Canis lupus familiaris: one gene and its partner. The protein of the gene in region 2 purifies or fractionates together with the protein of the main gene of each other region. This does not show direct contact. Links are inferred from orthologs where the notes say so. Each region holds a gene or a part of one and is shown on either strand. Other genes may lie near its edges. The genes, in order: ITGB1 and ITGA2.

Region 1 (3,826 bases), on a different chromosome or scaffold from region 2:
GAGAAGAATCAGTCTTTCCAACAAAGTGCTAGAACTACTACACATCCATATATAAGAACTGAATCTCACTCCATATACTAAAATTAACTCAAAATGGGTTACAGGCCTAAATGGAAAAACCAGAAACTATTAAACTTCTAAAGAAAACACAGGAGAGGGCAGCCCCAGTGGCTCAGCGGTTTAGTGCCGCCTTTGGCCCAGGGTGTGATCCTGGAGACCCAGGATCGGGTCCCGCGTCGGGCTCCGTGCATGGAGCCTGCTTCTCCCTCTGCCTGTGTCTCTCTCTCTCTCTCTCATTCTCTCTCTCTCACATGAATAAATAAATAAAATATTTAAAAAAATAAAAGACTCATGCTTTACTGACTGAACTGGCCAAGTGTCCAATTTAAATTAAAAAAAAAAAAAAAGAAAATACAAGAAAAATCGTTATGAACCTGAGTTAGGCATGGAGTGCTAGATAGAACAGTAAAAGCAAGATCCATAAAAGAAAGACGGTAAATTGTAGTTCATCAAAATTAAAGCTTCTGGTCTTTCAAAAACAATGTTAAAAAGATGAAAAGATAAGGAAGCATAAATTGGTAAACATGTATCTGTAAATGCAAAATACAGAGACTTCAAGAAAAAAACAGTTTGGCTATTTCTTATAGGGTTAAACATATGCTTACCATATGCCCTCAAATGCATTTCTACCATATATCCAAAAGAAATTAACACTTACATTCCTACAACAACCTGTACAGAAATGTAGGAAATTTCAAAGAATATAACAAAAAGTGCCTACAAAAATCAAAATAAAAAATGTTTCCTCTTCTGAGAAGCTAAACAAATTCATGCTTTATAATATTCTTTAAAATTATCTTTCCCAGTAGCACTCAAGCCTAAATCAAGCTCAAATTCAAGCATCATCAATAATGAGCCAAGTCCTAGTGAATTCCTGTCCTGGTTAAATAAATGTCAGGCAGTATGCTGAGTATTTTATGTGGATTCATACATTTAGTCTTCAAACTCTCCATTCATAACACTTAAGACTTGTTTTTTCCTTCTTCTTTTATATCGTTAACAATACTATTTTTGAGATTAAAAGTGCCCTAACTTGAATTTAAAATAATCCAGCTGGAAGTGTTACTGGGTGCTAGGGAAACTGCCAAGAGGCCTAAGTAGCAGTAGAAAAGAAAATGGAAAGAATTTTGAAATGATCAGACTTTTACCTGGTGTCTCTACAACATGAACAATGGCCTCATTATTCCCATTCACTGAATATGTGAAATAGAACCAGCAGTCGTCAACATCCTTCTCTTTACAATGGGATAGGGGATCAACCTGGCCTGGTTGTGGTAATTTGTCCCGATTTTCAACCTTGGTAATGTTGAAATGTGAACATTCCTGTGCGCAAGTGTCTTTCTTTTCTCCTTTATTGAAGGCTCTGCACTGAACACATTCTCTGTGAAAACACAAATTGCATTAAAAACTTATTTAAAATAAATATTTGCTTAAGGATTATTTCATGGGAGTAAATGGAGAGGCATATGACACTTCTAGATGGGAAAACTAAATATAAAGACACTAGTTTTCCAAGTGAAGTTACATAGTACAGTTCAAATTAAAATCCAAAAAGAGAAATTAAAAAGTCATAAATAGAAGAAACAGAGTGCGGCATGAACATGGGGAAGCAAAAGAAGACAAGAAAGTATGCGACCATGAAGCGAATGCTTAGTCTCCGAGATCAGAGGCTTAAAGAGAAGGATAGATTAAAACCTAAAAAGAAAGAAAAGAAAGTTCCCAGTGTACTCAAGGAAAGAGAAGTCCCCCAACATGCTTCCTGCTTATTCTTCCAATATAACACACAGCTGGGCCCACCTTACCACATCCTGGTTGATACCAACTTTGTCAACTTTTCTTTTTTTTCTTTTTTTTTTAAATTTTTATTTATTTATGATAGTCACAGAGAGAGAGAGAGAGAGAGAGAGAGAGAGGCAGAGACATAGGCAGAGGGAGAAGCAGGCTCCATGCACGGGGAGCCCGACATGTGATTCTATCCCAGGTCTCCAGGATCGCGCCCTGGGGCCAAAGGCAGGCGCTAAACCGCTGCGCCACCCAGGGATCCCTGTCAACTTTTCTATTAAAGCCAAACTTGACTTAGTACAGTCAGTGATGGACTGTCTGTATGCCAAGTGTATCCCTTGTATAACTGACTGTGTAATGGCTGAAATTGAAAAACTGGGGCAAAAGTATCGAGTGGCTCTAAGGATTGCCAAGGATCTAAGATTCGAATGATTGCCATGCACACACAAAGGAACCTATGCAGATGACTGCTTAGTACAGACAGTAACTCAGCACAAGTGTTAAATTGTGGCCACAGTTGACCGGGACCTTAAACGAAGGATCCGGAAGATTCCTGGAGTTCCCATAATGTACATTTCTAACCATAGGTACAACATTGAGCGGATGCTAGATGATTACGGAGCCCCTCAGTTCTAATTCTTAAAAGATAGAGTTTTTCTGCATTCTTATACCAACTTTTTCTGTTGACAGTTCATATTAGCAATATGCTATAGTATGAATTATTCTTCTTACCCATTTGCTCTGTTACGAGCTGAGTATGGTTAAATATACTCATTTTTTGATGTTTTGAAATCAGTATTTTGTATCATTTTAAGTATTGTTGCATCTTTCTATAAATCAGATGATTGCTTGTAAAAAAATAAAATAAAAAATGAATAAAAATAAAAAGTCATAAATAAAACTAGCCTTATCAGACACTATAAATATATAATACAAAACCAAAATGATATAAGCATTGTGTTATTTGTACAATAACACTTCTTCAAAAGGCAAACCATCATTTTGCTTAGTTTAGTCAAGAGATCATAATGAAACTGGTAATACTAATTTCACAAAGGTTACCCTATGGGATTCAATTACATAGCCAATTCAGACCAAAATGATGGCATCAACTACTCTCATATGACACACAAGTATTGTATGACAAACGCTAGTGACTGAGAAAGGATCTTTAAGCTCAGAGTGGGCTACCGTGGGTCACATACCTTATTTCCAGTGTGACCTAACATCAGTACTGTTCTGGTTCTAGTGATAACAGTACATAGGTCAACAGACAACTAATATCAACTCTTTCAAGCAACTAGGTAATACTTACTTGTGTTCAGCACAGACACCAAGGCAGGTCTGACACATCTCACAGGTTGGCCCTTGAAACTTGGGGTCTGTACACTTACAGGCACCACACTCACAGACGCCCCTGCCATTGCAGATCTGCCCGTTCGTGGCCAGGCATGAAGTCGTGTCCAGAGAACAGTCACAGGCACTGCCAGTGTAGTTGGGGTTGCACTCGCACACACGACACTTGCAAACACCATTTCCTGGAATTAAAAATATCACTTCTCATTACAATGGTAAAAATATACAACCATGGCACTGACTTTAAAAGCAACAAGTAGTAATGGGGAAGGATATGTAGTGAAGGATGGACTGACCCCTCAATGCTGCCCTTATCCTACTTATTCACCAAGCAAACTCTGAATGTTTTTTATTGTACAAGATGGGATCACTTTTCATAACCATTTTAAGACCCCTTTCTCACCTCCACAAATTAAGCCATTGGACCTATCGCAGTTGAAATTATCACACTCGCAAAATTTGCCAGAATAAATTTCATTTGTATTATCCCTCTTCCTACAAACACATTGTCCACAGACACACTCTCCATTGTTACTACAGATTTCTGAACTGTTTTCTTTCCTGCAGTAAGCATCCATATCTTCACTGTTAACTTCATCTGTGCTACATTCACAATGTCTACCAACAC
Region 2 (3,826 bases):
TCTAGTGTTGTATGCACTTTCCCTTTTGTTTTTCAGGGTTATTGAAAATGTTAACCTTCTGTTTTGGTTGCTGACAATAAAAGGTTGATCTCTGTTAAAAGGAAAAAAGAATTATTAAAGTTACAAAGGTCAGTGTTCAAATACTTCACTCATTTAAAAAATTAAAAGATAAAACTTTAGATTTGGAGGACTGAGAATGTTGTTTAATAAATCATCTCATAGTAAAATGATATGGACAACAAATAAGTCAATGCTATTAGATTTTCTTCTTCACTTATTTTAATTACATTGCAGGGAGAAGAACCATCCCAATACAAATGGTTTTAGATTTCTTGTTTTCCCCCTTATAGATGGTAGAAATTAAAATTCAGATTTTAAGGGTCTTTATTAGTGATGGATGTTTCTTTCATAGAAAAAATCTCCATAAACATTCATTTGAATAAAGTGATCAATGTATCTTATTTCCACACTTTACACTGAGCTCTAAAGCAGACTTACTGAGTAGCTGACAGATGTTGGACATTCAGAACTAGATCTGAGATGCAAACTCCATCATCCCCACAGTCCTTGTAGAAAGGGATCTACAAAAAAAGGAAAAATAATCCCACACATGTGCTCTTGAGTTAGAAATCATTGTGGAAGGATCCATGTAGTATCATTCCATCTATATAAAGCTCAAAACCATGCAAAACTACACAATATTTTAGGAATATATGCATGATTAGCAACATAGGAAGGGAAGCGTCAATAAAAGCAAAATTTGAGGTGATGATTTGCCTGAAGGAGCAAGATGAAGATGAATGTGATAAAAGTAGGGAGGGATACAGAGAACATAACTATTTGTTACATTTCTTAAAGGTGGTAAGAACAAGGTGTTTAACTTTATGGTTATTTATTTCCTCAACAAATATTTATTGGACACCTATGGTGGACCAGGCACTGTTCAAGGGTCTGGGAATACAGCAGTGAAGAAGACAAAAATCTCCATCCTTCACGGAACTTGCATGTTGGTGAACTTTACACATATTTCACTTAGAAAACTAACAATTTGAAAGTTATGTCCTAGGTAGCTTTTGAACACGACTGCAGTGACTATGAAGCTTTCCTAGCCAGTCTGAATTCCAGGAAGGGTAAACCACACTTACACTGAAGACTTTGGCCTTTTCAGAGTAGGCTTCGAGGGCAGGGCTGGTGCCAGGGTGTTCCAGGCTGATGTTCACATACAGATCCAAAGAGTTGACAACATCAGAGGGCTTCTAAACACACAGACACAGTGAGGCAGTTTACTAGGGCACGGTAGTTCCCAAACAAGAAAATGACCACAATGAGTTCACAATTAACAACACAGTCCCCTCTCAATTATGGAGAATATCCTCATTTTGAATTCTCAAGACTCTTGCTTCTTCTTTTCTGTCCTAATTCTGTTCTTAGCCTCTCCACCAGCAAGACACTTAGAGACTTGGGGTTCAGTAAAGATCTGAAGCAGCAATTCTTAGTTGAGCTCACCAGAAATCTTGTTATCCATACACAATTTATGAATATTTAGAGGATATGCCCAGTTTTAATATTTAAAAGACCTGTCAGTACACAGCTCTTGGGTTGTTGGCTAGGTCTTTTCAGTTCCTACCGCCAAGACTTAAGAGTTCTTAGGTATCCTGACCAAATTTCTGGGAGGAAATATTGTAACTGAGAGGGGAAGGTTGCTCAGGGCTGGCTACTGGGCAATGACAAGAGAACTCCCTTCTTTAGTCAAAACCTAACTCACTCTACAAAATTAGATAGATTTCCTTAGCTGGCTGCAAGGCTGGCACACAGGATGGGCTTAGTATTGATATCCAATATGGTGTATCTTAACCGAATGAGATCTCTTCGCTGACCCAAGGCACATATGCCTTCTTAAGAACTTCACAGCACACATCAGCATGAAAAGGATTATGTGTGAACAATAGCTTGGCTGACTTCATTCCCCCAGAATGGAATGCATGTTTCATTTGATCTATGACTTAGCACAAAAATTGGAGAGAAGGAGATCCAGCTTCTAGCCCTTTAAAGAATCTGGATAATTGTGCATCTTAACGACAAAAAGGTCCAGGCCTTCATAAGTAAGTCTCCTTAAACATGAACAAGAAATTAAGCAATGCAATTGATTTTAATTCCTCTATTAACTCTGTTTTCCCAATCATACTTAGTAGTTTTTGAGATGTGAACTTTGTATCATTCATCTAATATCAGGAATATCTCGGAGTACTCCTTAAATCGGCATATACCTCAGACCTTCAAATCCAAATTTCTGATGGTGGGAACCCAGAATATGCATTTTATAAAAGTTCTCTTGGCAGTTTTTATGTATCTTAAACTCTGAGAACCATGTTCTAGGAAAGTTCTTAAGCAGCTCTTTTAAAAATGCTTTCCTGAGGAAATCACACTTTCAAATACCATTACATAGTTCCTAGGGGAAAATAGTCCTATAATTTATAAAATCCATTTCCTGTTGGAAATTTTCCTTCAAGAAGCATTTTTCCTACTTGTGAGATTTTCAAAACTCATGTCAACTATAGTAACTGTGGCATAAGATTGGAGCAAATAATTTTTACCTCATCCTTCACCTATGTTAACTTAAATCCAATAGTGGAAATCACAATTGGAATTGTCCTTTTTAGCAGCTTGAAAATAAAAATTTTCCCTGATAAGAAAATACTAAAATAAAACTGTCTACTAAAAGCCCATCCTGTTAAACATTTAAGAAAGAAATCTTAAAGATTTCTTTAAAAATATCATTTTTTAGACTTTCAGTTGTAATCCTAAATAAAATTTCATACTAGTAACATTTTCATTGAATGTGACCATGTACTAGCAGAAAAAATATTATTTCCCCCCATAAAATTAAACAAGAAAAGCATTAACTAGAAGGGCAAGCATTTTCTAACTCCCGAGTTTTCTTTTTAGACGTAGACCATTCATTAGTTACTCAGAGGAAAAGAGGAAAGAGGACTGTGGCCCCACCTGTATGTTGATGGTGTACTCAGCGCAACTCTGTGCTTGACTTATGAGCATATTCTTTTGCAAACACCTTTCATTATTTTCTTTAAATAAACCTCTGGAGGTTACTCTGGATGAATATAAGTTTGCATCAATTGTGATATTGTATATAATGGCTATGAAAAAAATCATAAAGAAATGTTATTACAAATAAACCTTTACAGAAAAACCATCCCTGCCTTATTGTATCTTACTGGGTGAATTCAAGGACTTTGAGAAAATATAAAAACAGTCTTTACACTGCATTGTGAGCAGTGACCAACCATGACATTTGTAATTCAGGCTCTGGTATGATGTAGGTGACTGTGGATACAGACAGATGGGATTCAAAGCATGGTTTGAAGCAGTGTGGAGCAAAGCAGATTTGCCACCAGGAAATCTACTGAGTGAATTTGGGCAAATTACTCACTTCCTCAAGCATTGGTTTCATCATCCCTAACATGGTGATATGATAAAGAAGCAGTTACTGAGTGCCCGCAATTGAACACATTCTCATATGTTACCTTATAAAAGTTTTGCTATCAACCTGGAAAATGGATATTATCTCATTTTTCAGATAATAGAATAAAAGGGGTAAAATAAACCGGCTCCATTCACAAAGCATGGTCAGAAATAAAACTGGGGTGATTTTGAAATCAGAACTCATGTTCTTTCAGCTTCCATGCAGTTGTGAGGATTAACTGCTATTTGAGGATTAACTGACATACTTTGAGAGAACACTCTAGATGCTTATATGAAGGGAAGGCACGCAACTATGCAGTCATAAGTTTGGAATCAGACATACTTG

What was found.
Region 1: the proteins of ITGA2 (region 2) and ITGB1 purify together in Homo sapiens (co-immunoprecipitation; 3 studies listed by BioGRID and IntAct, with this or other methods). This does not show direct contact. The link is inferred for Canis lupus familiaris from reciprocal best matches to the Homo sapiens genes ITGA2 and ITGB1.

What each region holds. Positions count from the first base shown.
Region 1 is NC_049223.1:3,973,274-3,977,099, reverse strand, and holds part of ITGB1 (integrin beta-1), read right to left. Parts: coding exon 3,602-3,826; intron 3,381-3,601; coding exon 3,158-3,380; intron 2,479-3,157; exon of another isoform or gene 2,106-2,478; intron 1,886-2,105; exon of another isoform or gene 1,662-1,885; intron 1,442-1,661; coding exon 1,209-1,441; intron 1-1,208.
Region 2 is NC_049225.1:63,113,192-63,117,017, forward strand, and holds part of ITGA2 (integrin alpha-2), read right to left. Parts: intron 3,156-3,826; coding exon 3,004-3,155; intron 1,257-3,003; coding exon 1,146-1,256; intron 582-1,145; coding exon 499-581; intron 92-498; coding exon 1-91. UniProt on the Homo sapiens protein: Integrin alpha-2/beta-1 is a receptor for laminin, collagen, collagen C-propeptides, fibronectin and E-cadherin. It recognizes the proline-hydroxylated sequence G-F-P-G-E-R in collagen.